Notamacropus eugenii: one gene and its partners. The protein of the gene in region 4 purifies or fractionates together with the protein of the main gene of each other region. This does not show direct contact. Links are inferred from orthologs where the notes say so. Each region holds a gene or a part of one and is shown on either strand. Other genes may lie near its edges.

Region 1 (7,958 bases), about 230 Mb from region 4:
GAGAAACTTGGAGGGAAATCTACAAGATAAATCTTTTTAACAGGTCAAAGACCATGTCTCAACTTTGTATTCCAATGCAGCAGACAATATTTGTGTTAAGAATTCTTCTCTAAGCACTTGGGATCTCTAACACTGACCTTGGTTTACCCTATTTCATTTCAAAATTGTATTTTTAATTTTTAGTATTTTAAAATTGACACCCTTAAAAGCACTTTATATGAGCTCACATGATCTCTATTCTACCACACAACTTTATACCCTGATTATCTGGTTGCCTTCTGTTTTACAGTACAGTTTACAAGTATATATTAATGTGCCATTATTGAAGCTCATTGATTAATAATCTCCTGACCTAGGCAGAAGCAATAAGATGGTAACACAAATGAGTGGGTTAGCATATATGTGTTTTAGGGCCCCAAAATAGGAACATCTGAACACTAGATGGCATAAGACAGATAAATTAAGCATAAAAAACACTAACCAATTTTAGCTTGATTCATTTTCTGCAGTGGTTTTTGTGATACCAAAGCACAATTCTGACAGCAACAAGGGAACTAGGTGGCCATCAACTCTAACCTCATCCTAGTATTCATTTTTAGAAGTAGCTCAATAATCACTCTTAAAAAAAAAAAAAAATTAAGTCACCAAGAAAGGAGTGAAACCCCTTGAGTAAAAACAGTCTATGTAGCTGCCTAACAAAAATGCTAACTTTATTGTGGATTATGAAGTTTGCACTAAATCTGGTAACTCATTTATTCTGCTCACTGATATGGTAGTGATCTAGTTGTACAATTTCACTGGTTATCATAAAAGTCTCCCAAGTGATACTAATTATGTGATGGCAGGCAAATTAGCTATACTCTATCTGCCTTAGTTTTCAATACTGTAAAACGAAGTCACTCCTTTAAAATGCTGTCTATGTAATTGTGCTATAGTTTTATGATATACAATTCATTGTAATTTCCTCTAGTGAATTCAATGTGTAAACGCATAATTTGTATATTAAGGAGAAGTAACTACAGAGATGTTACATAGGGCATTACCTTCCATCTAGTTCTCTAACAGCATCAGCTGCATCTCTGGGATCTTCAAATTCAACGAAAGCAAAGCCGGGAGGATTTCTTGCAACCCACACACTTCGGAGTGGTCCATAATATCCAAAAGCTCGCTCCAATTCAGTCTTGTTGCCATTGTTACCAAGGTTACCTACATAAACCTTACAATCCAGTGGACAAGAGTCACGATGCATCTCTGTAACGAGACAATAGCAAAAAACGTTTAGTATTTGCAAAACTTTAATAAAATTCTTAATCAACATGACTTAAGATGCTAACTTAAGATAATTATAACTAAGCGCACTCCTTTAGAATATCAAAGACAAGGAAAGTCCAATGAAATCTAATTTAAGTCTGTTAACTACTCACCAACCCACCTCCCTCTGAGAAACTATCTTGTTTTTCCGTAGCAGCATAAATGGGGAAAAGAGCTCCAGAAGCAAAGTCTTTGGCAAAAGGCCAGTGTCATTTCATTCCAACATCCCCACCCATAAGCCGGTCCTTGAAAACCATAACTTTGTGATCATTAGCATAATCAAAACCAAAGACTCATTTACTCATTTAATAATTCTTTTGTAAATATGTTTTCTGAAAGAAGACTTTCCGTTTTATGCTAGGGTCCTCTTTCAGAGATCCTCTCCAAATTATCCTGTATGTCTTGTTTCTACCGTTCTTTGCCTGCGGTCTCTCCCATTTCATTTAAGAGCGAGGGGCCCCAGACCAGGAATTATTTTTCTTTACAATTCCAACCGTAAATACTGCCGTGTATATTAAATGTTTAAAGGCTGTTGATTTAATTTGTAAATCAACTATCGCAGATCATCCTTCAAAATTGCCAATGGATGCCGATTTGAATACTCTTCCTAGGGGGTCGCTACTGCTTTGTGTATCCTTGGCGAGGAGGTGCATGGAGCCAAAGGAAGATAAGTAACCAACAACCCTACGTAACAAAGTCAAGTATGCCGCATTCTTGGTTGGCCCGCTCACCCCAACATCAACCCAACTTTTAACTTCGTTGGACACAGATAGGAAGATCCGAACCCCAAGGCCGCAGACTTCAAGACGGGGCTCCCAACTGCACCCCCTAACGCCAGTCCGAACCCATGCTCGCTGTAAAGCACGCCACACCCAACCTACGGATTTTTCAGGACGCAAGTCAGAACAGGCTGCTAGGAATGCGGGGAGGGAAACTCCACCGGGCCGGAACCTCGCACAAGTCTCAAACAAAACAAAACAAAAAAGGAGGTCCCAGGCCTGTACCGGGGCCGCATCGCGCGGGACCCACGGGCCGCCTGCGGTCCCGCCACGCGCGCGGGAGGCCCCCAAGGGCCCACACGTAATTGGGAGCCGCCGGGGGAGGCGGCGGCCCCCTCCCTCCCTCCCTAGCTCCCAGCAGGCCGAGCGTCCTCCGCGGCCCCCGCACTCGGGAGGACCGAGGCCCTCCATCCACACGCACCCCCGCCCGCAGAAACGCGGGAAGGAAGCTCGGCTCCGCGGAGGCCAAGCCCACGGCAACCACCGAGGATCAATTTGCCGTGAGGCGAGAAGAGGCGCCATGAGCCGGGAGGCCGCGCCCGGGCGGCCTCGGTTCCTCTTCCGGATGCATCGTCCTCCCCACCCCCACTCCCCGGCCATCCCCTCGCCTCAGCCCGCGGGGCTTCCCCTCCCAGCGCTCCCCGGGTGCCCAGCCCCTGGTCGGGGATTCGGAGGTCCCTCCCCGCACTACCAATGGCGGCTCGACCGCCAGCCGCCGAACGTCACAAAATGGCGGCGGCGCCTCTTTGTCTGTGCTCGGCCCCGCTCGGGCCTCACGACTACGACGGCGACGAAAAAGAACCCAATCGCCCGCTCCGCTGCCCGTTTCCTTACCGGGTGCTGTGGCTTAACAGGCGGGGATCCGACTCCCACCGCTCGACTGGGTTTTTCCCGCTCCTCCCGGCTCCGTCCCCGCGCAGCTGTGGCGCTACTCCCCCGACGTCCACAAAATGGCGGAACGCAACCTTCGCCTCCCGACTTATATGCGGCCGCCCCAGGCCACGTGACAGAGGGCTCTGGCCAATCAGAGGACGAGGAACGCGATGACCGACATCTCGGAAGGGCCCGCCCTTCGTCTCAAGTTGTGAACCTCGGCTCGGACAGCGGTTGGTTGCCGGGAGCAGGCCTGAGGCTGGACGCTGCGCCCGTCCCGCCAAGCAAGGCCCGCTTCCCAGCAGCCGAGCGTGCGCGCACTGCGCGCGTTGTGTCGGCTGTCGGTCGGCCCCCTCCCCCATCCCGCTGGGCCTCCTTATCGTTTATCGGCCCGGTGCCGTGTGCCGGTGTATAAAAAATAATGGAAACCCGTCCCCAGAGCACGGTGCAAAATGGCGCAGACTTGTGTAACGTCCGTGTGCCGGAGGTTCTCGGCGCGCTTCTACCCTCCCGCGGGCGCTTAGACTGAAGCGGGAGGCCCCAAGGCCTTCCGTCAGCCTTTAGGAGGCGCGTCCGAAGCGCCGAGCGCCGGGAATCCTGAGAGAGGACGCCGAGCGGTAGAAAAAGCAGGCCCTGCCCTCCGGGGGCGCGTGCGCACGGGGAGAGACAAGACGCGAGCAGCGTGGTACCCCCAACACTTAACGTGTTTGTATGTAGTGTCTATATGCTAATTATAGTTGTATCGTCGCTGCCTTAGTGTTTACATATCGCGTGTTCCTCCTTGCGTTTGGATCCAAATCTGCCCTCCGAGGAACGACGTGACGTCACTGGATGACGTCACTGGAGGACGTGGCTTTGTTTTGAGTGAGGTCACCAGCCTGACTTCTCCCACATGCACATGTGTAAACACATGCAGTATGTGTGTGCGTGCCAACAAGCACATGTGTGTACATGTAATGCATGTGATCGCACCTGCCACATACAGAGACGTGTATGTTTACATACAGTAATGTGTGTGTATAGGTGCACACCTATCGTTCATGTATATGAATATGTGGATGTGGAATGTGGAGGTACCCCTGAGATTAATGTGTCTTTTCTATGAGTTCCCTTCCCAGGCACATGCCCTGGGAACACAATAATCCTGTTTGCTGCTCGGAGTCAGTCTTGCTTACTACCCCCAGACCTTTGCTGGTGTTCACCTGGTTGACCTTGCTGAGCTGAGCCCCACCCAACTGGCCTAAACCAGTCTTGCTGTCATCTGTTCCTGCAAAACTTCCTGCTTCTATGTCCACTTATTCTGGGAAAGATTGTCCATCCTTTTCCCAGCCCTTCCCCTGAACCTCCCCTATATGGTTTTCTCCTGGGCTGTGGGCTCCTTTGTCTGATTTTCTTCCTAATAAAACTTCTACTTTCAATCCAGCTTGGACTACTCTATATTTTGAGGGCTGGGCTTCACCTGATTGACATTTCTGGGGCATAGAAAACAGACATATTAATCTCAGGGACTCTTCTACAGTATGCATGCATGCATGTATGTATGTATTCTCATCTGTGCCTCCAAGAAGCTATAGCATGTGAATGGGCCATACCTCAGTAAAACCGTCTCTGCAGATAGGCTAAATCGGGTTGTGGGTAATTGACAGGCTGAAAACCCATTGATGAGTTAGGAGACTATCTATTCCAAGGATGTGAAGACTTCCCCCAGCCGAATGGGCAGGTGATAACAATTTGTTCCAAGAGCCATGAAGGGGGCTGACGCAGGTGCTGTGGAGTGCTTAGAACTTGGTTAGACATTGAAGATGCCAAGATCATCCAATGCATCCCAGGTCATCTCCAGTTGTCCTGACTTTTGCCCTGACACTGGGCTTTGATGATTCTGGAAAAGAGAACGAGGCTGATGACTCTGCCTCACTTAAATCTAATTCATAAGGAAGTCAAGATATCATCCTGTGGTATCATTGGTCCTCTTTGAAAATGAAGGACAAATAGCGACAACAATAGGATAAATAAGGGGTAATCTCAGAGGGAAGGCACTAAGCTTACAGAAGCCTAGGAAAGGCTTCATGAAGAAGATAGGTCTTCAGCTGGGGCCTACAAAAAGCCAGAGAAGTCAGGAGATGGTGATGAGAAGGAAGGCCCTCCAAGCATGAAGGACAGCCAGTGAAAAAGCTCAGTGGAGAGGGAGCTAGCTTGTCACGTTCAAGAAACAGCAAGAAAACCAGTGTCCCTTGATCACAGAGTCCATGATAGTGAGCAAGGTATAAAAATCTTGGAAAGATATGCTGACACTCTGAAGAATGGAGAGGTCATGAAGGCCTTCATATGACGAAAAAGGATTTTAGTTTCGATAGTGGAGATGATAGGGAGCCACTGGAGTTTATGGAACAGAGGGACAATATGGTTAGATGTACACTTTAGGAAGCTCAATTTGATACCTTAGTAGAGGATAGATAGGAGTGGGGGGAGGCATGAGGTAGGGAAACCCAACAGCAGGCTAATTGGCATATAGTCTCATGCAGGGATGGGGAATCTGCAACCTCAAGGTCATATGTGACTCTCTGTGTCCTCAAGTGCAGCCCTTTAATTGACTCCAAACTGAATCCAAACCCCTTAATAAAAGGATTTGTTCTGTAAAACTTGAACTCAGTTGAAAGGCCACACCTGAGGATCAAGAAGGCCACACGTGGCCTTGAGGCTGCAGGTTCCCCACCTGTGGTCTAGGGCAATAGTCTAGGCAGGAGTCTAGGATAAGTGTCTGCACAAGAGTGGTAGCAGTGTCAGAAGAAGGAAGGGGACATATTTGAGAAATGTTATGAAAGTAGAAACAATACAGCTTGACAACTGATTGGATATAGGGAGTGACAGAGAAATTGAGGATGATCTTGAGTTGGAGTGATTGGGGAGGATGGTGGTACCCTCCACAGTAATTGGGAATTTAGAAAGAGTGGAAGGTTTGGAGGGGGTGAGGAAGATAATAAACTCAGTTTTAGACATGTTGAGTTTAAGGGATGCTCAGTCTGAGATGTCTAAAAGACAGTGGGAGATGTTAGATGTTAGGTCCAGAGAGGTTAGGATTAGACAAGTAAATCTGTGAGTCATTTGTATAGAGCAGACAGTTGAAACCATGGGAGCTGATGAATTCACCAAGCGAAACAATATGGAGAGAGAAGAGAAGAGGATCTAGGACAGAACTTTGGGGGTCTTCCATGGTTGGCAGATATGATGGGGATGAAGGCTGAACAGGCTGTGTTCGTCCTTCGTTTTCTAAGGCGACCATAACAGAGAAATGATGACATGACTTATATTTGACTTTGTTTTGAGTGAGGGAAGGCTGTGCAAGGTCACCAGCCTCACTTTCTCCTCCTGAGCCATCTGGGTTCAGCAACCAGATCTGAAGATTGAACAGAGGATATAGAAAGGGAGTAGTCAGACAGGTAGGAAGAGAAATTGTAAAGAGCGGTGTCCCAAAAGTCAAGAGAGAAGAGAATATTAAAAAGAGGGTTATTTATAGTTCAAAGGTTGCAGAGAGGTCAAAAAGTATGAGAACTGAGAAAAGTCTGTTAGATTTACCAATAAAGAAATCATAAATGACTTTGAAGAGATCAGATATTGTTGAATAATGAAGTCATAAGCCAGACTCAGTTAGAATAGATCTTGGAACTCATCTATTACAATTTTCTGATTTCACAGATAGGGAAACTGAGGCCTATGACAAGGTAAAACCAGACATTTATTAGGATGAATAATACTTGACAAGATAGGTATCTTTCTCCCTCATTTCTTTGTTTTATGGACTTGTCTCTAAAATGATTTTAAGGCAGGGCAATAATAATCTTTGTTGTATATACTTGGATGTTAAAATGTTGAATAACAATTATGTGTTTCCTAATCAACACTTGCTAATTAAGTGAATAAAATCAGACAATATAAAAACAACAGCCTAAACGTAGCCTCAGGGCTGCAAGAAGCAGGAAGCATAGAAGTGTCATTGTGTTGCTCAAAGCAAGGCAGAGTAGACACCCTTTTGCCTCTTCTCTCCCAAACCCTCTCCAAGAGAAACTATTTCCTGCAAAGAGGAAAAGTAGGAGGTTAGAGCCAGAAGCTTGAACACTCTGCTTTCTTTAGGAGGAAGGGACACTGGGCTAGACGTCTGTCTATTAGCTCTCTTAAATATTGTTAGTGTAAAGGATGTAATTTTCATGTTCAAGCTAAACCTCTAATTCCCGTTTATTAATGAAGAAAAGAAGAAGTCCCTTCCCACCAGGTGCCAGTTCCAAAGTGAACAGACATAGCACTTAGCAAAAAAAATTCATTTATCCAAATCAATAACAAAACAGAAATCAGAGAATGTATACATAATAGAACATATACCACACAATACACAGTGAAGGCCCTTTCCCATGGGGAGAAACACAACTCAGCTCAACTGAGAGAGTCCCAGAGGAAATTTCCCAGTCTCTAGTGTAGCAAACTGGGAATAGAGACATGAAGGAGACTGCTAGCTCCTCTCTTGTATTATTTTCCCATCAGTAACCTGAAGTGGATTGGCATTGCTCATCTTCTCTCTTAAACCTGGAGCCCAGAAACCCCCAAAGCAAATACACAAACCAAAGAGAGGAAGGGGATTTAAGAGCTGGAAGAGACTGCTGTGAATGAAGAGATAGAAACTCTTCTCTTTCCTGTTCTCACCAACTCCATCCTGCCCCTCACACAAGCACTGGAAGTTGATGTCCACCAATAAAGAGAGAATCTCATACCAACTGACTTTGGGTCTCTGGCTCCATAAGGATAGCTCATCTCTGGAAGATAGAACAAATTTGACAATGTCTCTTGATGTACTCGTGGATAAAATGGAGAAGTGTAAGCAACATAATAGCATAGTTAAATGACTGATACCAAGGTATAGTGATTAAAGAGTTGATGTCAACTTTACTAGAAGTCTCCAGTGGAGTGCCCCAGGGATCTGCCTTGATCATGTGTTATTCAAAATTT
Region 2 (7,775 bases), on a different chromosome or scaffold from region 4:
TCCCCTCCACTAACTGTGCTGCCCAAGGTTGTGTCCAAGACCCTCTTCTCTTCCCTCTCTCTCTGTTCTTATCTGCTCTTATCTTTATTCAGACAACTCCCAAATTTACATATCCGGCTTTCACATCTCTAGAGCTCAAGTCATTGCCAAATGTCCAGTGAACATCTCAGGAAAATCAGAATTTGAATACTACTTCAGACTCTGTCTCAGTTTGCTCATCTACAAAATGGGGCTAACTACTACTACTACTACTACTACTACTACTACTACTTCATAGGGTTGTTGTGAGGTTGAAATGAGATAATACATGGAAAGTGTTTTGTAAATCTTAAAGCACTTTAAATATTAGCCATTATTATTATGACTACATCCACACCTCAAAATTAACTTGTTTAAACCTGAAATCATCTTCCCATGCTACAGTGTCCTCCAGAGGTATCGATCATGAGGCCCTGATGCAGTTGAACTCCAGTTCAAATGTATTCGGGAAATAGTTAACAAAATAAATAAAAATACGATAAAATACAATATTCCATTTTGTGGTTGGTATGTTGTTCCAGTCATGTCGGACCCCATTTGGGGTTTTCTTGGTAGAGATACTACAATGGCTTTGCCATTTCCTTCTCTACCTTATTTTGCAGATGAGGAAACTGAGGCAAGCAGGGTTAAGTGATTTGCCCAGGGTCACACAGTTAGTAAATTTCTGAGGCCAGATTTGAATTCAGGAAGATGAGTCTTCCTGACTGCAGGCCCAGCACTCTATCCACTGTGGCACCATACATAATGTTAATATGTGGTTTTCTAAGTCAACCTTCTATAGGGTTTACTGGCCCCAATTCTCTTTGTGTTTGATACCAGTGGTGAATGGAGGACTTCTGTTTGAATCTTGCCTCTGACATTTTCCAGCTTTGTGAGTATGAACTAATCACTTTTTTCTTTCACCTTCCATTTCCTCATCTCTCAAATGGGGATAATAACCCCGTCTACCCCACAGGACTGGTGGGAGGTGCAAATGGGAAAAGGTACATGGAAAGTGCTTTGGAAATTGCAAAAAGCTTTAAATCTGTTATTATTATCATGATATCTGTAGTGAGTGCCCTCTGTAAATCCTATAGAACCACACAAACATCAGTTATCATCCCAATACTTTGCAAACATTGAAGTGCTTCATGTCAGCTATTATATTATTATTTCTCCAAGCCTGCTCAACTCCCCTTTGGGGGCATAGGATGTTCCCAAGCTCCATCCTCCAGACTGGCAGCTTCCGCATCCTCTTGGGCGTTCTTCTTTGTTCCTGACCCCACCCAACATCCAGACAGTTGCTTTGCTGCTCATCCCTCCTGGCCTCTCTCTGCCTCTCAGTTTGCCTGGTCTTCTTCAAAACTCAGTTCCAATCCTACCTTTGCCAAGAGGCCTCTTTCCCTGTCCCTCCAGCCGCTAGTGCCTTCTCTCTGAGATCACCTTCCATCCACATTGTCCAGTATATATCCTGCACATTCATGGTAGTTTTCTTATTGTCACCTCAAGTCAAATCAGAACCGTTGAGGGTGGTGGATTGCAGTTAATTGAGGTGGATTGTGATTAATTCCATTTTTTTTCCCTCCTTAATGCTTAACACAGATTATGCATTTAATACTTGTTTAGGGGCAGCCAGATGGTGCAGTAGATAGGATGTGGCCTCAGACACTTGCTAACTATGTGACCCTGGGTAAGTCACTTAACCCTGATTGCCATAAATAAGCAAATAAATGCTTGCTTATTGGACTGACTACGTCTCTCAAATCTGCTCCTTTCTATCTAATCAAATGGCCAACACCATTCTAACGCAAGTCCTAACCAAGTCTCTTATTTTATTTCCTTGCTTCTAGTCTAGCTTGCCTCTATCCCACACTTTACACAGCTGCCAAAATAATCCTCTAGTCACTCCCCTTTCTCAAAATCCTGCCATGACTCCCTATTGCCTCTAGAAGAAAATATTAAACTCCTCATAATCTGGCTCCAGCTAACTTTTCCAGTCTTATGGCCCATCATTCCCCTTCATGAATTCAATGCAATAGCTAAAGTGTTGTTCTGTCAGTCACTTCCAATTCTTAGTGACACTGTGCACCATACTGTCCATGGGGTTTTCTTGGCAAAGATACTGGAACGGTTTGCCATTTCCTTCTCCAGTTATAGCTAAACTAGATTATGGCAGAATCTAGTATCTCTCCCTGGCTATCTTCTGTGTATGAAGTGCAGCGGAGAGAGCACTGAAATGGAATCAGGAAATTCTGAGGTCAAATTTGGCCTCAGATACTGACCAGCTGTGGAACTTTGGCAAGTCATTTAACCTGTTTGCCTCAGTTTCCACATCTGTAAAAATGGAGATAATAATAGCAATTACTTCCCAGAGGTGCAAGATAATAAAATAAATAAGGATAAAATAAGTTCATATTTGTGAAGCTCTGTAAACTTTAAAGTACTATAAATGCTACCTATAATTATTATTATTATGTCTTTCTAAATTCTTCTCTTCCTTCAATGGTGACCTTAGGTGCTACCATTTTTAAGTAACCTTTCCTTAATCCTCTCCTCATTCAATCCTTCCCACTCAGATTTTCTGAGAGTACTTTGGATGGATCTCTTTTGGTTTTGTTTTGCCTCTCTTGGGTCCATGTTACATCCTTACCTTTGCCCCCCACCCAGTAGAATATTCTCCTTGAGGCAGGGTCTCCTGTCATTTTTATAGTATTTATCTCACCAACATCCACTTCAGGGTTTTGCACTGGTCGGTACCTCCCCCAAATCTTTGTTGAATGAATGAATGAATGAGGAAGTTGCTGTGAGGCAGATTTCAGCTAGATGTAAGAAAAAGTTTCCTGACCATTAGGGCCATTCCAAAGTTGAATGGGTTAGCAGAGGCTGAAAGGTTGCTTGTTGGCCATGGTGCAGAGGGGAATCTTGTTCAAGTATGGTTGAACATAATGCTATAAAGGTCTGTTCCAGCTCTGAGAACCTGTGATTCTGTGGAAAAGAGAGAGGAGATAGCAGGAGGAGAGTAGAACCTGGGCAAATCTTAATGTGCATAATCTCTGATGCATCCATCACCCACAAGCAGGGAACCTTGGTGTTGAAAGCAGCCCTCTAGTCCAAGTCATGTCCCCTATGGCAGGGGTGGCTTGAAGACCTTTCAGGTACAGGACATCACTCTTGAGAGGCCATGCACTTCCCTAGGAGAAGGCTGTCATATAGTCTCTTGTAGTTTGTGGGTGTCCACCAGACTTGGAGCTCCCTGGCCAGGAGGCCAGTATCTCACTGTCCTGGGTTGTGATCCCACGCCATCTGCCACGCGTGGGGGCACGTTTCAGGAAAGGCATGGCCAACCTGGAAAGACCCGAAGGAGGGCTGGCAGGGTAGCGACGGTGGCTGGAGAATTCCTACGGACGGATCCGAGCGGTGTTCAGCCTGGAGGGTGCCAGTATCCGAGGAGCTCCTGGGCAGAGGAGGGGGGCTGCCTTGAAGTCCATTTCCAAAGTTCCTCAGAAGAAGGCTGCCCCAAAGGGACAAGGGCCGCTGTGTCCTGGGGTGGCCGGCCCCTTCCTGCCCCGAAGCCTGCAGGCAAAGTTTGGATGACCATTTGACCGGTACGTGGTAGACGAAAGAAAGGAAAAACTGGCCACATCTCTGAGGTTCTTTTCCAGCACAGAGATTCTGAGGGTCTGGGTCCGATCCCGACTTCAAGTGTGGGCAGGCCCCGCACACACCAGGAGCCCCATGATTGCGGATGACACTGCCAGGATAGCGCCGGGGAGTCACAAAGCCTCGGGCTTCACAACCACCGGGTGTGACACGCGGAGCAGAGCCGAGCCCGGGGGCTTGCGGGCCGGGCAGACCCCGCCCCGTCCCCGCCCCACGCGCCCAAAGGTCTGCAGACGTCTTAACAGCTCTGCCGGCAATCCCCCCACGAGGCAAGCGGTGGCAAGGGTCAGCCTCGGGCTGCAGGGTCAGGCCCTCTACTTTAGGCTGAGTCTCAGTTTCCTCATCTGTACAATGGGGATCACAAAGAAACGGAAGCGGAGGGCCGCCCGGCTCCGCCCCCACCGCCTAGGCGTGGGGCCGAGCTGGAGTCGCGAGCTCCGGGAGGGCGGGGCCGGGAGGGCGGTGTCGAGGGCGCGCCGGGGCGGATGGGCGGGAATCCCCTTTCGCGGGGGGACGAGCCCTGCAGCTCCCCCTGGTATCCCGCCGCCCAAGAGGGGGCGCACGAGCCCAGCAGGCCGTAGACGTTCAACGACCCGCTGGCCCCGATTGGGACTGAGGGAGGGGAGGAGGGAGAGGGAGAGCGACAGGAGTCACGTGCTGGGCGGCCGTTGGACGCCCAACGTCCGCCCCTCGGGTTCCCCCCGCCCCCTCCGCGGGGGTGGGGAGATCAGAGGGCGGGCCCCACCCACGCGTTGGCTCCGCCTCCCTCCTTCTCCCGCCCTCCGCGCCTCGTGCGCTCTGCGTGCCTCGTCAGCACGCTCTCGGCGTCCTCTCCGAGGGAGGCGGGGACTGAAGGGAGCGAGCGGAGTCCCGACCTAAGCGGGGGGTTGGTGGGGGCAGTGTCGGGCACGCGCGCGGCGGCGGCGGTTCCTGGTTTAGCGTGTAGATTATATAGGAAGAGGAGGAGGCTCGGGAGGGAGGCTTTGAGGCGAGGCCCTGGTCGGGGTCGCGGCGCGCGCGCTCTCGCGGCGGGTCGGTTCGGTTCGGGCGGCGGGCGCGGCCAGGCCTTGGGCGCGCGGGTTCCGAGGTAGGCGCGAGGCCGCGGGCGGAGCCGGGCCCTCGAGTGCGAGACCAGGCCGGAGCCGGCGAGGCGAGGCGAGGCGGAGCGGCGGCGGCAGCAGGCCAGGCCCCGGGCGGCGGCGGCGCCATGAGCGTGGAGGCGTACGGGCCCAGCTCGCAGACCCTCACCTTCCTGGACACTGAGGAGGCCGAGCTGCTGGGCGCCGACACCCAGGGCTCCGAGTTCGAGTTCACCGACTTCACCCTCCCCAGCCAGACCCAGACGCCCCCCGGAGGGCCTGGCGGCGGCGGCGGAGGCGGTGGCGCGGGAGGGCCGGGAGCCGCGGGCGTCGGGGGAGCCGCGGGCCAGCTCGACGCGCAGGTGAGGAGGGCTGGGGCCCTGCCCCTCCGGCGGAGCTCGGGGGGCTGCCCCCTCCCCGCCTCGGGGGCCGGGTGGCGAGGAGGAAGTGACTCGCCCCGGGGGTAGGTAGGAAGTGGAGCCCGAGCCTGCCGCCACCCCCTGCGGGGGAGATCTGGCCCTTTGGGGAGTTCGGATCCTCCCCCTCCTACACTTTCGCTGTGGGGGAGGGGCTGCCCTTAGAGAAGGGGCGTCATTTGGGGTGGGGGGGCACCAATCCCAGGACTCCGCAGCCTTTTCGGGGGAAGTGCAGCTGACAGATTTCCTTCCTCTCGGAGGCCAGGGGGGCTCCCTTGGTTTCTGAAAAATCCGACTGGGTCGGGGTGCAAGGGGCTTCCTGCCCCCCAGCTCCCCACCTGTTCTTGCTCCACTTTGAAAATGTGAACCTGGCAAAGATGGTTTGCTTTGAGCCAGGTATCTGTTACTCTCTCTTTCCAGGAAACTGAATTTTACCAGGCCCGGGATGTGCAGGGGACACAGCTTGGTGTTCAGATCGGAATTTTTTTTTCCCCCTCACATCGTAGAAGTACTGTTGTCTTTTTAAATGTGTGTGGGACTTCCTACTTTTAATTACAAGTGATTTCTTATACAGGGTCTTAGCAAGGTTCAAATACACATGTTAGTGGCAGGTCGTTTTTCTCTTCCTATTGGCTTTACCTTGTTGAAAACTTTAACCCTTTATGAAAGCAACAGGTATCGTAACTTTCACTTTTATGAAATACTTTAGAACAGATACGCTTCCTGCTACCTGGATATGGATCTCTTTCTTCCTGAGTACAGCCATCTGTTCTTATCTGATTGGCCCAGTCCTGTCTTTGTTTGGTCGTTACCTGACTCCTAATAGCTGTGTGACCCTAAGCGAATTAATCTCTTTGAGCCTCAGTTTACTTATCTGTAAAATGAAACTAATATTTGACCTACATACGTAGCATGTTAGTGAAGAAATCTCTTTGTGAGCCTTAAAGGGCTACAAAAATAAATATTTCCAACATTTTGAGTAAGAGCTGGAAGCTTTTCTCTTTTTCTTTTTTTTTCTTTTAAACCAAAGTTGAGTTCTCTTGAGGTTGACAAGGGGCCTGAGCTTCCCAGAGATGAAGTGATGTGCTCATTGTACTTTAGGGATTGAGCATAGTGGAACCTTTTGGATCCAGATCTTTCTCAATTCAAGGCTCTTTTTGTTACATCATACTGCTTTACAACATTATTTCTTTAAAGGTGGCAAGTTGGTGGGTGGAGCATCTGGTTTGAACAGGTGTGCAAACATGTTCTGCCTTTTTGCAGGTACTGAAGGAGGATTTGCCTAAAGAACTTGGGAACCAGAGAGAAGGATAGTAGAAATTTCTAACACTAGTATCAGTGCTCTGTAAAACATCATGTCTGTATATCAAATAAACCAAAACAATCACATATATGTAGGTACTTTCACATGTAATATGTAGCAAATATGTCAGATTGTACTCAGTGAAAATCTAATTTATAATTAGCCGTGATGCTCTTTGTAGAGAGGAGAGGAGAGGAAGGAGCTGGGTGGCATTTTGTCTACTTATATAGTGCTTTACAATTCACATGGTTTTTGTTAAGAAACACAGTAGTTTAGATTATAAATGGCAGCTGATAGTTTGTAGAAACTACCTTGATGGAAGTGTATTCTTGGGTAACATGAGTAGTTTACCTGTGCTTCACAGCCAATATGTCTAAAGTAACTTTGGGTGGTGGCAGTGTTGTCCAGTTTATAGGTTTTGTTGCTGATAGCTTGATAGCTCAGAAAGCTCCTGTTTGGTTTGTCATCAGCTGGTAGTAGTTGTTTGTCCTTTGAAATAATGGTTATTTTCATAAAGACTAACATTTCATTTTAGGTGAGCAGAACTTGTCATTAAGGTGACTACCGAAGTAAAACTTGATGTTATTGTTAGCAGAAATTTCTTCTGCATTTATACAATGCAAAGGTACCTCTCCTTCAATTTTCTATCCCTATTTAAGGAGAAAAGGTGAAGATTTAGTTTTTTTGTAGAGGAGATGAGGACCTTGATTGATAGGGATATGGAGAAGCAGGGTCAGTTTTGAAAAGATCTATCCCCAAGGTGCATTCAGGATCAGTATGTCTTTTGTAGTAATTGATGTCACCAGGTACTTCAAAACACTTGGGAGCTATTTATCTTACCTGAATTTCGGAGCTAGTGATGTAATCAACTGTAAGAAAGGAGATCCTAAACTAGAAACCATTGAGCTTTTTTTTGAGAAATGATTCAGGATTTTAAAAGGGGGGTGATTTTTATGATTTTGACACTTTTGAATAATAAAAAGAGGGTAAAATTCTTTATCATTTGAAGTGCTGGGTTTTGGTTTTTTTTACATTACCTTTGACTTTGCCTGTTAGAATCATCAAATATTAGAACTAGAAGATGATCTTTAGGTGATCCAATCCAACTCCCTGGTTTTGTAGATGGAGAAACACCCAGAGAGGGTGAGTGACTGACGAGAAAAATCTAACTTATTTCTCCTGACCTCCAGTCTAGTTTTTAATCATATGGTTTTATTATTATTTTTTTTAAAGACAAACTTAACTGATTAAAAGATGGAAAGTTATAGGCTGATTAGAACAGGAGAATGAGAACTGGAA
Region 3 (7,114 bases), on a different chromosome or scaffold from region 4:
GAAACTCTGACTCCAACCAGCACTGATAGGTGAACTTTTTGCCTTATCTGGCCCAGAAACAGGCCTATTTTGTCTACTCTCCTCACGATGTTCCCCAACTCCAGCACCCTCTCTACCTGCTTTCCAGTATCCCTTTGTCTGTTGTCTGCATTATTTACCTATACCTCAGTCAATAAGTATTTATCAAGAACCTACAACGTGCCAGATACTTGCTAAGCTCTGAAGATACAAAAAGAAGCAAAAGGCATCCCTGCCCTTAAGGAGCTCACAACGTAATGGAAAAGACAACAAGCAAACCCTTATAAACAAGCTATATACAGGATAAATACCAGTAGTGAGCATTTAATGGTGAGATTAAAACCCAAGTCTCCAGACTGCAAGTTCCTGGCTCTTTTCAAGGCATTGAAGCATCCCACATGATAAGACAATTAATGTTTGTTTTTTTCTATTAAGTTGAATTCTACTCATTGTCTGCCAAGTCTCAGCTTTCAATGACTCCCACCAATTTACCACCTTCTTTCCTACACATGGGTTGCTGAATGAAGGTGGAGAAAATTATGAAACCATTCCGAGTCTACTACAGATTCATGTTACACAACATCAACTGGACTCTCATTGCTGCTAGGCAATTCTATTACACCTGCCTCACCAACTTGCTATCTCACGCTCCCCTGTGGTTCTTCTACACCTTTTCTTCCCTCTTCAGTTCTTTCATGGCTTCCTTTCTTGTCTCAGTTGAGATCCTTGCCTCAAATTTTACAGAAAAAAAGAAAACTTAGGCCATTAGCCTCTTCTCCCTCTTCCCTATCTACTATCACTCAACTCAGGTGCCTTCTGCCACTATCTCCTCCTTCACTCTTATTTCATATGACAAAGTAGCCTTATTCCTTATTAAAGTTGACTTCTACTTGTTCAAGGACCTCATTTCATCCTGTCACCTCTAAAAGACTGCCCCCTCTGTCATCACTTATTTTTAGTCTCTTCCAGTCAAATGGCTCATTCCCTACTGCCTACAAACAGGCCCATCCCATGTTTTTTTATCCTGATAAAGCCTTCTTTTCATCTTTCCATCCCTGCTAACTCTCATTTCATATCTCTTCTGTCCTTCGTATCTAAACTCCTCAAGAAGGCCACTTACAATAGGTTCTTCTACTTCCTCTCCTCTTACTCTGTTCTTAACCCTTTATTATCCAGCTTCTGATCTTGTTTTTCCACTGACATTGCTCTCTCCAAACTTACCAATGAGTTCTTAGTTGCCTGGTTACATGGCCTTTTCTCAGTCCTCATTCTCCCCACCCTCTCTGTGGCCTTTGACATTTGTTGATCCCCCCCCTCTTTTCTCTTAAGTTTTTGGGACACCACTCTCTTTGTTCTCCTACCTACCTGACCCCTGGTTCTCCTCCTACCTTTCTGATAACTCCTTTTCTGTCTTTGTTGGATCCTCATTCTGATCTGGTTTCTCTTAGGATTCTGTCCTGGGTCCTCCTTTCTTCTCCTTCTACAATTCTTCACTTGATGATCTCATAAGCTCCCACAGATTTAATTACCATCTCCATACTGATGACTTCCATATCTATCTATCCTGTCCTAACCTCTCTGCTGACCTCTAGTCTCACATCACCAACTTCCTTTCTGACATCTCAAACTGGATATCCAATAGGCATCTTTTTTTTTTTTTTTTTTTTTGTTAGGGTAAGAGCTCCTTAAAGGCAGAATCTTTTTCTCAGGCTCCCTAGCAGAAAGCCTTGTGACATAATACTGAGACATACTTACTGAGTTGAATTTAATATAGACATGTCACGAGACATGTCACAAGAGGCAATGTAATGTTTTATTTATTTTTTTGGCAGTTTTAAAATTTTTTCTTTATTTTCATTTTTAACACAATTCATATCACATGAAACAATTCCAACTTTTGGTCAGGTGATACTTCTTTTAAAGCATTTACAATATAGACCACAAATGAATTTTTTTTTAACATTAACCAACTGAGACACAAATAGTAACTATGTACGCTAACTTCACATTGTCTCCACACTATTACTAAGAACCAGTAGACATCTTAAACTAAACATGTCCAAAACAGAACTCATTATCTTTCCCCCTAAAACCTCTTCCCCTCCTACTTTTATGATTACTGTAGACAGCAATACTACCCTCCCAGTCCCTCAAGCTCACCATCTAGAAATCATCCTGGACATCTCATTATCTCTACCCCTCCCTTCCTTTCCCCCCTACATTCCCCATATCCAATCTTTTGCCAAGGCCTGTCAATTTCACCTTTGCAACATCTTTCACATATACCCCCTTCTCTCCCCTGACACTACCACCCCTCTGTTATAGGTCCTTATCACTATATACCTGAATTATTATTTTTTAAAAATTTATTTATTTTTAGTTTACAACATTCAGTTCCACAAGCTTTGAGTTCCAAATTTTCTCCCCTTCCCTTCCTTCCTCCCTCCCCAAGATGACACGCAATCTGATATAGGCTCTACATCTGCATTCACATTAAACACATTTTCACATTAGTCATGTTGCAAAGAAGAATTATAACCAATGGAACGAGACACAATAAAGAAGAAACAAAACAAAAATGAGAGAATAAATAGTCTGCTTCCATCTGCATTCAGACTCCATAATTCTTTCTCGGGATGTGGACGGCATTTTCCATCATGAACCTTTTGGAGTTATCTAGAATCTTGCATTGCTGAAAAGAGCCAAGTCTATCAAAGTTAGTCATCACACAATGTGGCTGTAACTGTGTACAATGTTTTCCTGGTTCTGCTCCCCTCACTCAGTATCAGTTCATATGCATCTTTTTAGGTTTTTCTGAAGTCAGCCTGCTCATCATTTCTTATAGCACAACAGTATTCCATTACATTCATATACCACAGCTTGTTCAGCCATTCCCCAATTGATGAGCATCCCCTCAATTTCCAGTTCTTTGCCACCACAAAAAAAGCTGCTATAAATATTTCTATACATGTGGGTCCTTTTCCCATTTTGTATGATCTCTTTGGGATATAGTCCTAGAAGTAGTATTGCAGGGTCAAAAGGTATGCACATTTTTATAGCTCTTTGGCATAGTTCCAAATTGCTCTCCAAAATGGGTAGATCAGTTCACAACTCCACCAACAATGCATTAGTGTTCCAATTCTCCAGCATTCATAATTATTCTGTTTTGTCATGTTAGCCAATCTGACAGGACACACCTGGATTATTGCAATAGCCTGCTGGTGGGTCTGCCTGCCTTAAATCTCTCTCCACTCCAATCTATCCTCCATTCACCACCAAGAGTGATTTTCCTAGAGTACAGGTACAACTATGTCATTCCCTTGCTCAATAAACTCTAGTGGCTCCCTATCATCTCTAAAATCAAACACAAATTCTCTATTTAGTAATAATAATATCTATTTAACACTTACTATGTGCAGGCAAGGTACGAAGCACTTTATAGTAATTATCTCAATTGATCCTCACAACAACCCTGGAAGGTTGGTGCTATTATTGTGTCATTTTACAGATGAGTAAACTGAGGCAGACAGAGGTTAAGCGGCTTGCCCATTTTCTCTGGCTGTCCTCCATGCCTGGAACGTTTCTCTACCTGCTGAGTCTTCTGGCTTCCTTCAAGTCCCAGCTAAAATTCCATGTTTCCCAACCCCTCATAATTCTAGTGCCTTTTTCCCTGTTACTTATTTGCATTAATCCGGTGTATAGCTTGTTTGTACATATACGTTATAGTATGTACATATGTACATGCTGCCCCAATTAGAGCGCAGGGACTGTCTGGCTTCTTTGTATCCCTAGGACTTGGTACCCAGTAGCACTCAGCGCTTATTGATTGATTGACATTGACCTCAATTAGGGTTGAATTCATTAACGGATCGGTAGCCAGAGGCTTTAGAGGATCAATAGATGAAAGCAGTTTTGGCAATGTCCTTCCACACAGCATTCTGTATCATTTGTACGTAGTGTAGTATATGCCAGTTACTTTCAGGAAGCAGGCGGGGCCTTCCCAAGGCGGCCGTTAGAACCGCCTACGTCACCAGAGGAAGTCGTACGTGGAGCGCCGGTGACGCGGGGGTCACAGACGCCCAGGGTGGGCCTGGGGCTCCTCCGCATCCCCAGGGGGGGGAGGGGAATCTGTCAAGAGAATGGGAAAGGAGTGGGGAACTGACCGGGCAGCGTGTTCTTTCATTTATGAAGAAACTTCGTTATAAACTCAGTTCAGCAATTCACACCTCCAGGAAAGGCTCCCGCATCCTGTGGAAATTGTTCTTTTCTCGCGGAGGGTGAAAACTGCGTCATTGAAAAGGGGGCGATGAGAACCCCGAGACTGGTGAAGATATAGGGAGGGGCGGGAGGAAGGCGGGGTCAGAAGAGTAAACAGGACACGCCCTCGATTTTGACCCCGCCCCCAGCACCGATCCCTCCTACCCGGCCCAACGCTGACTCAAGGCTCCAGGAACTGGATGCGCACGCGCTGTAGGGAAGGTCTCATCGTATAGTGCGCCTGCGCCGAAGAGCCGCCTCGCCTTGCTCCGCCTCTTCCCTCCCTATAAGTCTGTCGAGATTCTCCTCGCGAGAGACTTCGTTCATTCATGCTCGCGGCCGGGGTCGGAGGTCACAGTGAGCGTCTAGGAGGCCGAAGGAGGAAGATGGCAGTGGAGTCCCGCGTCACTCAGGAGGAAATTAAAAAGGAACCGGAGAAGCCCATTGACCGGGAGAAGGTGAGGGCCCGGGGCCGCTGGGGTTCCGGCGCAGGCGGAGGCGGGGCCTCGCTGGAGGGTGGGGGTGGGGAGCCGCGGCCTGCGGGGGGGGCGGGGGCGGGCGGCCCCTGCTGGGGAGCTTGGGGGCGGCCGGGGGGCCGTGGGGGGCTGCGGGAGCCGGGCCGGAACCTCCCTCCTCCCTCACGCGGGTCTCCGCTTCTCCGCCCCCGCACGCAGACGTGCCCGCTGCTTCTGCGGGTCTTTACCACGAATAACGGCCGGCACCACCGAGTGGAAGAGTTCTCCCGAGGAAACGTGCCTTCGAGCGAGCTGCAGATCTACACCTGGTGAGCGGTGGTCCTGGGGGAGGGGCGGGGCGGGGGGTGAGGCCCCCGTTCCGTAGGCCCCGCCCGGCCCCCTCACCCGTTTTACCGCCTTCTGAGGGAGTGGCCTGGGGAGTTTGGGTCATCGGGGCTAGAAGAGAGGTGCCCACCTGGCTGAAACCTCCCGTGGGCTGGGATTGACCAGCGTGGCTGCCCCCTGACCAATGGTAGTGGCCGCAGTGCAAAACTTTTCACGTCTGAGCCTCACCAACAAGCACCCTGGCGCAGCGGGGGCTCTACCAGAGGCTTGGAGGTATCCCTGATACCAGTGTGAAGGAACAACAGTTTTGGAGAGGCTGCTACCCAGGGTTAGTTTGAGAAGTCGAAGTGGAACCCAGGTCTTCTGAACCCCAAACCATAATTAGGTCCTCAGTCTTCACATCTCAACCCTATTTTAGTAGATAAGAAAACAGCCCCATCCCCATGCAGTCTTGGTGCCTCTGAAGGCTGGGAGTGGGGTGTTGACCCATATAACCTCACCTCCTTCTGACTTTGCCAATTGAAACTCTGTGAAATGATTTGTGAATTCAGCTATTTTGAAAAATGTGTTTTTCTGTGGTGGTAGGGGAAAACTAGGTTTCAGCTGTTATAGGGGTGCCTGATTAAATAATGTTATATGAATGCAGTAGAGTATCAGTCTTTAAAGAAAAGGTGAATATCAAGTATTCAAAGGAACATAGAGTTTAATACTCTCATTTTGACTCACCAGAGTTCTGTGACTCCAAAATTCAGCACTTCCTGCCGTGGACACATAGTTTCTTTTCATTGGGAAGCTAAATAGAAAAGCCTGATGTCCTTTCTTTTGTGTTTTGAGTAGGACACGTTTTTATTACTTGAGTGGAGTTAACTTTGTAGTCTCTGTTCTGTAGGGTTCACTCTTCTATATGTTAACTGTGAGGTTTGGTAGTGATTGTTTTGTGAACTAATATTGTAGGTCGTTAAGTGTTAATAACTTAATTTTCTCAGTGCCCTCCATCTACCACAGACTTCACAACCCGTTTGTCATTTAGATTTTTTTTTCAAGCATTGTTATTGCTCCCAAAATTCATCACCCTGTGGCTTTAGCAATGAGCCTATCTAACCGCTAACTAGAGAACAACAGTGTGTTTAAAAAAAAAAAAGTTAAATGTCTAATAAAAGGACATTATAATAATAAGAGTTTAGTTTGCTGCTCAGTGTTCTAGATGAAGTAGTTTGGGAGCTCTCACCTCTCCTATTTGTACCTATGCCCTTATGGCAGCCTACTCTTGAGTTATTTCTGATTCTTCCTCTTTCCCCACTAAGGTTATTTACCAGATTGGCAGCGTTGTGTGAAGGCAGGCACAATAATGAAGGAGTGGGGAAAAAATTGGGAACATGCAAAAGGAGTGATACCATTACTCTCTAGGAGGTCAAACATGGGCCCTGTGTAGGTGAAAATATTCATAGCAGTACCTTTTGTGTCAGCAAAAAATGAGAAATTAAGTGGGTACCAACTGGCTAGGGAAAGGCTCCACAAATTATATATCTATATAGATTATCATTCTCCTGTAAAAAATGACAGCTATGAAGACTTGAAAGAAACTTGACGACTTATATGACTTTACAGAGTAAAGTTGCACTTTGTAGGAGAGCAGCATATGCAACTACAGTAATATGAATGAAAAAACTAAAGAAAACTGATGAATAATTAGAATTTTTGTCTTGAAGAATCACAGTTGAAATATACTTCTTTTTGATAAGAGGTAGGGAACTCAAGGTGTGGAATGTTTCTTTCACTGTCAAGCATAGCTTTGCTACTTTTTTTCTTTCTTATGGAGGGACCTGGTACTTTTTTGAAGAAAGTATATCTGGAAATAGCTGCTGTAAAAACAAAAGACATCAATGAAACTTTAAAAATATATGTCCATTTCCTGGTATGCTTCTGAATTAGCTGTCACAGGGAAAAGAGATCTGAAAATAACTCACATGAAGATTGTTAATACTTAAAGGTTATTTTAGAATGCTGGACTTGGTAGAGCAGAAAACCTGAGTTTGAAC
Region 4 (7,525 bases):
TTGCTATGTATCTGGCATTGTGTTAAGTGCTGGGGACACAAAGATAGGTAAAAAATAGTCCTCACCCTCAGAGAGCTTGCATTATAATGAGGGAAACAATGTATAAATTACTGGGTGCATATGTGATACAATGTGTAAATTACTAGTTGAATACATGATATATATACAAAGGTTATAAATTAATGTCAGAGGGGAAGGTTGGAGGAACCATTAGATGGTATTTAAGCTGAATCTTGAAGGAAACCAAGAAAGCTAAAAGGTAGAGGTGAAGACAGAGGGTATTCCAGGCATGGGAGAAAGCCAGCGCAAAAACACAGTGTCCTATACCAGAAACTAACGCTGAGTGAAGTGAGTAGAACCAGGAGAACATTGTCCACAGCAACAGCAACATTGTTCGATGATCAACTATGATAGGCTTAGCTCTTCTCAGCAATACAATAATCTAAGACAATTCCAAAAGATTCATGATGGAAAATACTATCTACATCCAGAGAAAGAACTGTGTAGTCTGACACATACCATTTTCAGGGTTGGTTTTTTTTTTTGGTATGTTTTTGGTTTTTCCTATGGTTTTTCTCTTTTGTTCTGATTCTATTTTCACAACATGACTAATGTGGAAATATGTTTAACCTGATTGTACATGTATAACCTATATCAGATTGCTTGCTGTCTTGGGGAGGGGAAAGAGAGGGAGAGAGAAAAAATTGGAACTCGAAATTTACAAAAATGAAAGTTGAAGACTATCTTTACATGTAATTGCAAAAAATAAAATACTATTAAGTGCAAAAAAAAGTTAGACCCTCATGAATCTTTAAAGTTTCTTATATGAAGTACAAGGTTTATATAAGGATAAAAATGACAAGTGGTACATAAAAACCGAGTTTCTCTTTAGTTTCAGGATTGGAAAACCAAATTTAAGAGATTGTACTTGCATTAAATCTTGTTACTACTTGATTTTATCAGAATTATCTAGGAACCTTTAAAAGTGATTTGGAACCAAAGAAATTGAGTCTCCTTTGGAGCTGCCCTGAGAATGAGGCCTATTCCAGCATGTTCAAGGGAGAAGATATCCAGAGAACAGACAACAAGAGACATCTGGTACTCAAAATGTGTTGATGAAAATGGGAATTGGGAGTGGGTTACTAGGATACAAGGAGACTTCATTTTAGATAATATTGATGATCATTATTGTGTTGGTTTAGCCTTTTATTTCATGGTGTTTATGTTTAAGTTTTCATGGTTACCCTGGTGAAATATAAATTAGTCCACTGTAAGCCCTCTAATTAGCATGATCTATATAACCTGACTGATGTAATTTATGAATATATGAAAAATCTTATGGATTTGGCTTATAGATAAGTGATCCATGGAGGGAATGAGCTGCCACTCTCCCATGAAAGAAAAGGGGAAAATTGAGGGAACTGAATTGTGGGAACTGGGTGAACCATATCAGGTCCATCTTGTGAATCAATTCTGGAGCTAGCTGAGTTCCCTACTCAGTTAGTGGTATATTTCACTTTCTGTCTTGTGGGAAAACTTTATTCAGTTGTAAGAATTGGGGGAAAACTCCATTGCACTGTTTGAACCCAGCTCTGCATACTTGGGAGGCCTGTTTAGAGATCCTTAATTAAGACCAGAAACCCAATCAGACCCCAAAATTGATACAAGTAGTTTTCTCACAATTATACATCTCAAGCAATGTCTTTTCTGAAAACTGGCCCCATACTGATCACTCATTTACTGTTATCATGTTCCTCTGATTTTTCACAGATATGTGGGGGAAGTGGAATATCCTTTTGATTTCAAGGAACTGCACCTGTTTCCTCTTCTAACCAGTAAAGTCCCTGATCTTTCTTCTACTTAGAAGTCAGTTTATCCAGTGTTATATTCTGGTTATTTCCTCTTACTCAATTGGTCTTACTTGATTGTTTTTAATGTATACTAATGTGTCTCCACCTGCGTTTGAGGTCCACTACCAAAGTTGAGGAAGGAGACTGGTCCCAATTTGTCAGGCAAGTAGCAGCATTGCTGAATAAACCAAAATGCTCAGAAGTGCAAGCCTTTTTTGGTTTCCTTAGTCATTTCATCTTCCACTTGCCACAAAAAGGCAAATTATCACCTGGGAATGGAGCAAAGGAAGATTGAAAGAAGGATGATGTCAAGGTGATTTGAAGTATGGAATATAAGTATTAGATAAGGCCTTCTGCTAAGAGAGAACAGGGAAGGTATTGGTACGGGCAGCTTGAAGAGCGAAAATACACTTTGGGACAGACTTTCAAGACTGTGATAGTTCATCGGGAAGAATAAAAAGATTGGCATACAGGAGTGAGGGTTCAGTTGAGACAAGATAACACAAACTTATAGTAGACCTAGTCAACCGGATTTTATGATTTCTTCCATTTGTGTTGGATATATAGTCATAATAAACAGATTTTCTAGCACTAAGTTGGGAATGCAGCTCCTTGCATGTGATAATCATTTGTTTGCCAGATGCAATAACACTTGGGCCAGAAGTAACATAAAATCTTAAGGCTGGAAGAGACCTCAGATGTTACCTAGACAAATGATCACCTAGCTCCTGCTTTCAAAATCCTCTATATGTTTAAATGCATAAATGGTTGTTGTCCTTTATTCTCAAAGAGGATCAAAATGACATCACTATGTTGGAATAAAGGTACTGTGTCCAACTCTGCACAATACAACAGCTTGGAACATTTTACCTCAGGTCAGGTACAGTCCATATGAACATTTGGAGTGGCGATGTCTCTAAATTTGTGCATATGTGACAGTTGCTAAATTTTCTTGAAACAAGAGCTGTTTTCTTTCAGGTCTTTTTGACCACAGAGTAGAATCCTCGTCTGCCACAGTAAGCAGGCCAGGGTTGGGTAAGGTAGACAATTTTTAGGTCACCTTTTCTAATCCCTTCCTCACACCAGGAGTTAAAGGGTAGTCCAAAAACAGCTGCTCAGACACCCAGGTGGCTACCAAATCCCACTCCTGGCTTCCAGTGAGAAGAGGTCCCTGTGGCCTGGCCACCTGTGTGCAGCACTGTGACTACCTGCTGCTTGGTCACTTACCTGTCAACACAGGGCTTTGAAATAGGTAAAAATGGTAAAATGGAATAGGTGATGTTTTCTGAGGCACATAAATACACACAAACACGCTTATCACAGTCCTTTACCTGAAATAAAAGGTTTATTTTATACATGTTACTTAGGAGAAGCAATGTGGCATGGTGGAGAGGGAGGAAGACTTAGTCCTCTCTGAAACACATAATGCCTATGTGACTACGGGGTAGCATAGCAAGGTCCATAAAACTTTTAAACTTCTGTAATAGTTTTCACGTCTGGTCTCTGAAGTTCTATATTCCTTTCTTATGTGTGTAAGAAGTTGGTTTTGCTCTTTAAAATTATGTAACAACTAGTGCTATACTTCTTCACTTTGAGGAGGAATTACTAAATGGATAATCCCTTTTGTAACATGCATTCTGGGCTGCTCCCTCAACTTGAACTTGTACTGGCACTCATGGGTTGGGTCCTCAGAAAGGAGCTGCTGCCAAGAAGTTTTAGAAGGGTATCCAGGAGCTACTCACTCCTAATAACTTTGCAAGCCCCCACCAGCGGTTGGCAATCAACCAGAGGACAAAATTAGTTCTTAGCAAAGATATTTACTAAGATGATACAGCAAAGGCAAGTTACAACCCCCCCCCCCCCCCCATAAAATTAAAGTATGCCCTCCCACAACGTCCTCCAGAGGAGTGGGCATACACGGGATAATCAGGTCTTCACGAGCATGCGGCCCAAGCAGTGGGAACTCCAGAGCCTGGAAGTCCTCTCTCTCCTCGGGGAACCCAAGATCTAGCCCTCAGTGCCGTGTTTCTGCGGGGAAGATCCGGCTGGGCTCTCGATCCCTTACCATCTGCCTTCTCTGCAGCAGGGGTCCTGTTCCGCCTTCCAGGGAGTGTCTTTCTACACAAATGTCTCTCAGCTGTGCCTACAACTCTCAAATGCGTGGACGGGAAGCGTCCCGAGGGGCGCTCGCTGCCAGGTGCCACGGTCACGGGAGGGAGGCAGGAGAATTCTCTGCGTGCCCCACAAAGCCAAGCCAAGCCATGAATCTCCCCGCGGGGCTTGGCTATTGAAAGCCCCCAAATAATGATTACGAACCAGGCCTGAATGCCGCGGCTTCTTCCCCAGCCCAGTCCTGCACTGAAATAGTTTCTTTCCTAACCCCCATATTCTCTCTCTGATCCTCAGGGTGGAGGCCCACTAGAAGCTTAGGAGGCTGACGCCACTAAGACCCTAGGCCTACGGGTAACTCCCCCTCCGCTCCCCGCCCCCTCCAACGGAAAGCGCGGCGCCTTCCCCGGTCACGTGACCTGGAGAGAACAAGGAACCGTCGGATCCGCCTGGGCGCACGTTCTTGTGCGTACGCGCCTATGCGTGCGTGCTTGCGCACGTTCGGACGCACACCCGCCCACCCCTGACCTTAACTACGGAGATGGATAGATGACGGCGCAGCCTATCAGCTGCTTCTGTGTGCTTCTTTCTGGGGCCTCGGCGTGCGCGCGCGCGCGCAGTTCCCTGCCTCCCCTCAACCCCTTTCCGGCTTCCCAGGCAGTATGGCTGCCACAGCCACGATGGCTACTTCAGGTTCTGCTCGGAAGCGGCTGCTGAAGGAGGAAGACATGACAAAAGTGGAATTCGAGACCAGCGAAGAGGTGGATGTGACCCCCACCTTCGACACGATGGGTTTGCGGGAGGATCTGCTGCGAGGCATCTACGCCTACGGTGAGCAGGGCGCGGGCGCTGCCGGGGGCCGGCTGGCCGAGGCGGGCACGCACGCTGCTGGGAGGGAAGGACGCCCGGGCGGGGGAGAGAAGGGCAGATTGTGTTCAGGGCCAGTGCTACGAGGTGCGCTCTGGTTAGGTCGGGTGTCGTTGTAGGCCTTCGGGCAACGGGCAGCCCGAGCAGCTCCAAGCTCCGCCCCGCGGTGACCTCATTGGGAGGCCTGCCTGCCCGCTTCCCTCGCGGAGTCCTCGAGCTCGCTGCCCCGAGCATGCTACGGAGCCCGCGGAGGGAGGGGTGGGGGAGGAGGAGCACGCTTCCCGGACCCTCATAAGCAGAGTAGCAGAGTTGGAGAAACCATCTACTAACTTCAGTCTAGTTCAACCTCCCATCTCTCAGCTGGGGAAAACTGAGGCTCCTAGAGGGAAGTTCCACAGCCAGTTAGTGGCTCTTGACTGCTATATGCTTGCTGGACTAATGCATTTTTCCACCAATTAAAATCCCTCTATTCTAGAATCTTTCTGCTTTGTATCTTTATTTTCTTTGGGAGATGATCGATCTCTAGTCCAACTTACCTCATTTTACAAATGAGAAAATGAGCTTTCACAAAAGGTTTCTTGGGAATGTTTGAACACTGAAAGTTAGGTACTCCAGAGAACTATAATTGGCTTAAGAGGAAAACACAAGTCTACGTTAGTTAGAATTCCAGCATTATAAATCGTTTCTATTTTACAGTTCGGTAACCTATCTTTAAAGTATAGTGAGGTTAGGGTGATGGAAAATTTGCATAAAATTTTCAACGTAATTATATTTTACATAAAGTTCACTTTACAAAGGTTTTTCCTCATAGCATCCCCATAAGGTTGGAAGTACAAATATTATTATTCCTATTTTACAGAAAGATATACTGAGACTTAGAATCTATTTTTGCTCAGTCTCTTGACTCTAATGTTGGGGTTCATAGTCATATCCTGGTCTTGAAATTCCAAATTTAGTGCTCCTGCTACAAGATCATTATTAGTAAAGTAGCAGATAGTGATTTGTAATTAATAAATATTTAATTGAAATATATTAAATGTTTTTACTTAGCCTAACAAAGGGGGTGAGGGTGTAGCATTTATTAAACACCTTCTATGTGCCAGGTGTTATGCTAGGCACTTTAAAAATACTATCTCATTTTATCCTCAGAACAATCTACTATTATCTCTTTTTTAAAGTTGAGGAAACTGAGGTAAACAGGAGTTAAATGCCCTGTGCCACACAGCCAGTAAGTGTATGAGGACAGATTTGAAGTGGAAAAAATTCTCAGTACATTAATGTGAAAAAGTTATTGAGTTTAGGCTAGATGCTCAGTGATTCAGAAGACCCTGAAAATTCATAAGGAAAAATATTTTGAATTTTTTATTCAATAATAATATAAACTCCTAGTTGTTATTTAAATCTTCTTCACAAGCTAGCTCTTCACTAGCGAAGGACAGACTGACCACCTTCTAATCTTATTATACTTAAACACACACACATTCAGCCAGACTGCCTCATGCTGATTCTCACACAAGGCATTCCATCTTCTGTCTCTGCTGCTTTTCCATAGATTTTGTTCCCCATGTTTGGAAAGTATCATGGTGGGCCCTTCAGTTCTCCCAGCCTTTGATTTGAACTTCTGACCTATAGCATCTGCTTTGATATGGCATTTTTTTTTTTGACCCACCTACATAAACTCTTATTTGGACTACCAACTGTGCAAAAGCTGGTTTAACTGTGGACTTGGGGTAATCGCTGAAGAGTCATTTGTTATTTCAGCATCCATAAAGGGTAGCAACTCTTTTTCCAAGTGTTTCAGTATTATCAGTTTCTTCTATCTGAAATAGATAGTATATTTAGCAATACTGTAAACTGAGAGTCTTTAACTTCAGACTTCATCTTACCAACAAATCTTCAATTATGAACACAGATATATAAATTTTTTCTTGTTTTTAAGTAATTTCATTTAAATGACAAATATATTTTATCCCCAGTATCTCACATTTATTCCTTCCTGCCCTTTGAAACCACTACACTAACTCAGGCCCTTATTGCCCTCTCATTTGGATTGTTATAAAGCCTCCTAATTGGTTTTCTTGATTTTAATCTATCTGTTTTCCAACCAGCTTCCACACAGCTGCTAAAATTGACTGTGTATGCCACTGCTTCCACCCCTACCCCCGCTTGCCTCTAGAATGAAATAAAAACTTCTTAGCCTGACACATTTTACATTACTCTTCTTTATAAAAGTCTACATTTCCAACCAGACTGATAAAGATTTCCTAAAATAATGCTCCATTTCCCAGCTCTATGAGTTCACACATACTCCTTCCCCATACATGGATATCTACTCCCTCTTTATCTTTGCCTCTTAAAATCCTTAGCTTCATTCATAGCTCAGTTCAGGGAACACCTCATTTCCTGATGACCTCCATCCTTTCGTTTTTAGTGTTGTCTTCCTGAGATTATCCAGTTGTGGACCTGTTAGGTAAAGGTCACATAACAAAGTAGTGGTAAACCTAAGAATAGAATTCAGGGCTTCTGATGATCTTTAGCCTGCTCTTTCCATTGCACCAGTTCTTTTCAACAAACATTTATTACACACCAGCTTCATGTAGAGCACTGTGCTAGATTTACAGAGAGGAGTTTGGAAGACACAAAGTCTCTTCATGAGGTTTAGTCTAGTTGGGCAGACGTGACTCGTGGATAGATAATTA

What was found. Proteins that work in one complex are often made in the same cells at the same time.
Region 1: the proteins of EIF4A3 (region 4) and SRSF3 purify together in Homo sapiens (affinity purification with mass spectrometry; 3 studies listed by BioGRID and IntAct, with this or other methods). This does not show direct contact. The link is inferred for Notamacropus eugenii from reciprocal best matches to the Homo sapiens genes EIF4A3 and SRSF3.
Region 2: the proteins of EIF4A3 (region 4) and UPF1 purify together in Homo sapiens (co-immunoprecipitation; 8 studies listed by BioGRID and IntAct, with this or other methods). This does not show direct contact. The link is inferred for Notamacropus eugenii from reciprocal best matches to the Homo sapiens genes EIF4A3 and UPF1.
Region 3: the proteins of EIF4A3 (region 4) and SAP18 fractionate together in Homo sapiens (co-fractionation; 3 studies listed by BioGRID and IntAct, with this or other methods). This does not show direct contact. The link is inferred for Notamacropus eugenii from reciprocal best matches to the Homo sapiens genes EIF4A3 and SAP18.

The regions. Positions count from the first base shown.
Region 1 is NC_092873.1:93,993,983-94,001,940, reverse strand, and holds the start of SRSF3 (serine/arginine-rich splicing factor 3), read right to left. Parts: upstream 3,062-7,958; 5' UTR 2,925-3,061; intron 1,252-2,924; 5' UTR 1,250-1,251; coding exon 1,044-1,249; intron 1-1,043. UniProt on the Homo sapiens protein: Splicing factor, which binds the consensus motif 5'-C[ACU][AU]C[ACU][AC]C-3' within pre-mRNA and promotes specific exons inclusion during alternative splicing.
Region 2 is NC_092875.1:66,552,488-66,560,262, reverse strand, and holds the start of UPF1 (regulator of nonsense transcripts 1), read left to right. Parts: upstream 1-4,714; 5' UTR 4,715-4,885; coding exon 4,886-5,119; intron 5,120-7,775. UniProt on the Homo sapiens protein: RNA-dependent helicase required for nonsense-mediated decay (NMD) of aberrant mRNAs containing premature stop codons and modulates the expression level of normal mRNAs.
Region 3 is NC_092876.1:188,251,354-188,258,467, forward strand, and holds the start of SAP18 (histone deacetylase complex subunit SAP18), read left to right. Parts: upstream 1-4,053; 5' UTR 4,054-4,604; coding exon 4,605-4,733; intron 4,734-4,949; coding exon 4,950-5,059; intron 5,060-7,114. UniProt on the Homo sapiens protein: Component of the SIN3-repressing complex. Enhances the ability of SIN3-HDAC1-mediated transcriptional repression. When tethered to the promoter, it can direct the formation of a repressive complex to core histone proteins.
Region 4 is NC_092873.1:322,650,618-322,658,142, reverse strand, and holds the start of EIF4A3 (eukaryotic initiation factor 4A-III), read left to right. Parts: upstream 1-4,457; 5' UTR 4,458-4,621; coding exon 4,622-4,790; intron 4,791-7,525. UniProt on the Homo sapiens protein: ATP-dependent RNA helicase. Involved in pre-mRNA splicing as component of the spliceosome. Core component of the splicing-dependent multiprotein exon junction complex (EJC) deposited at splice junctions on mRNAs.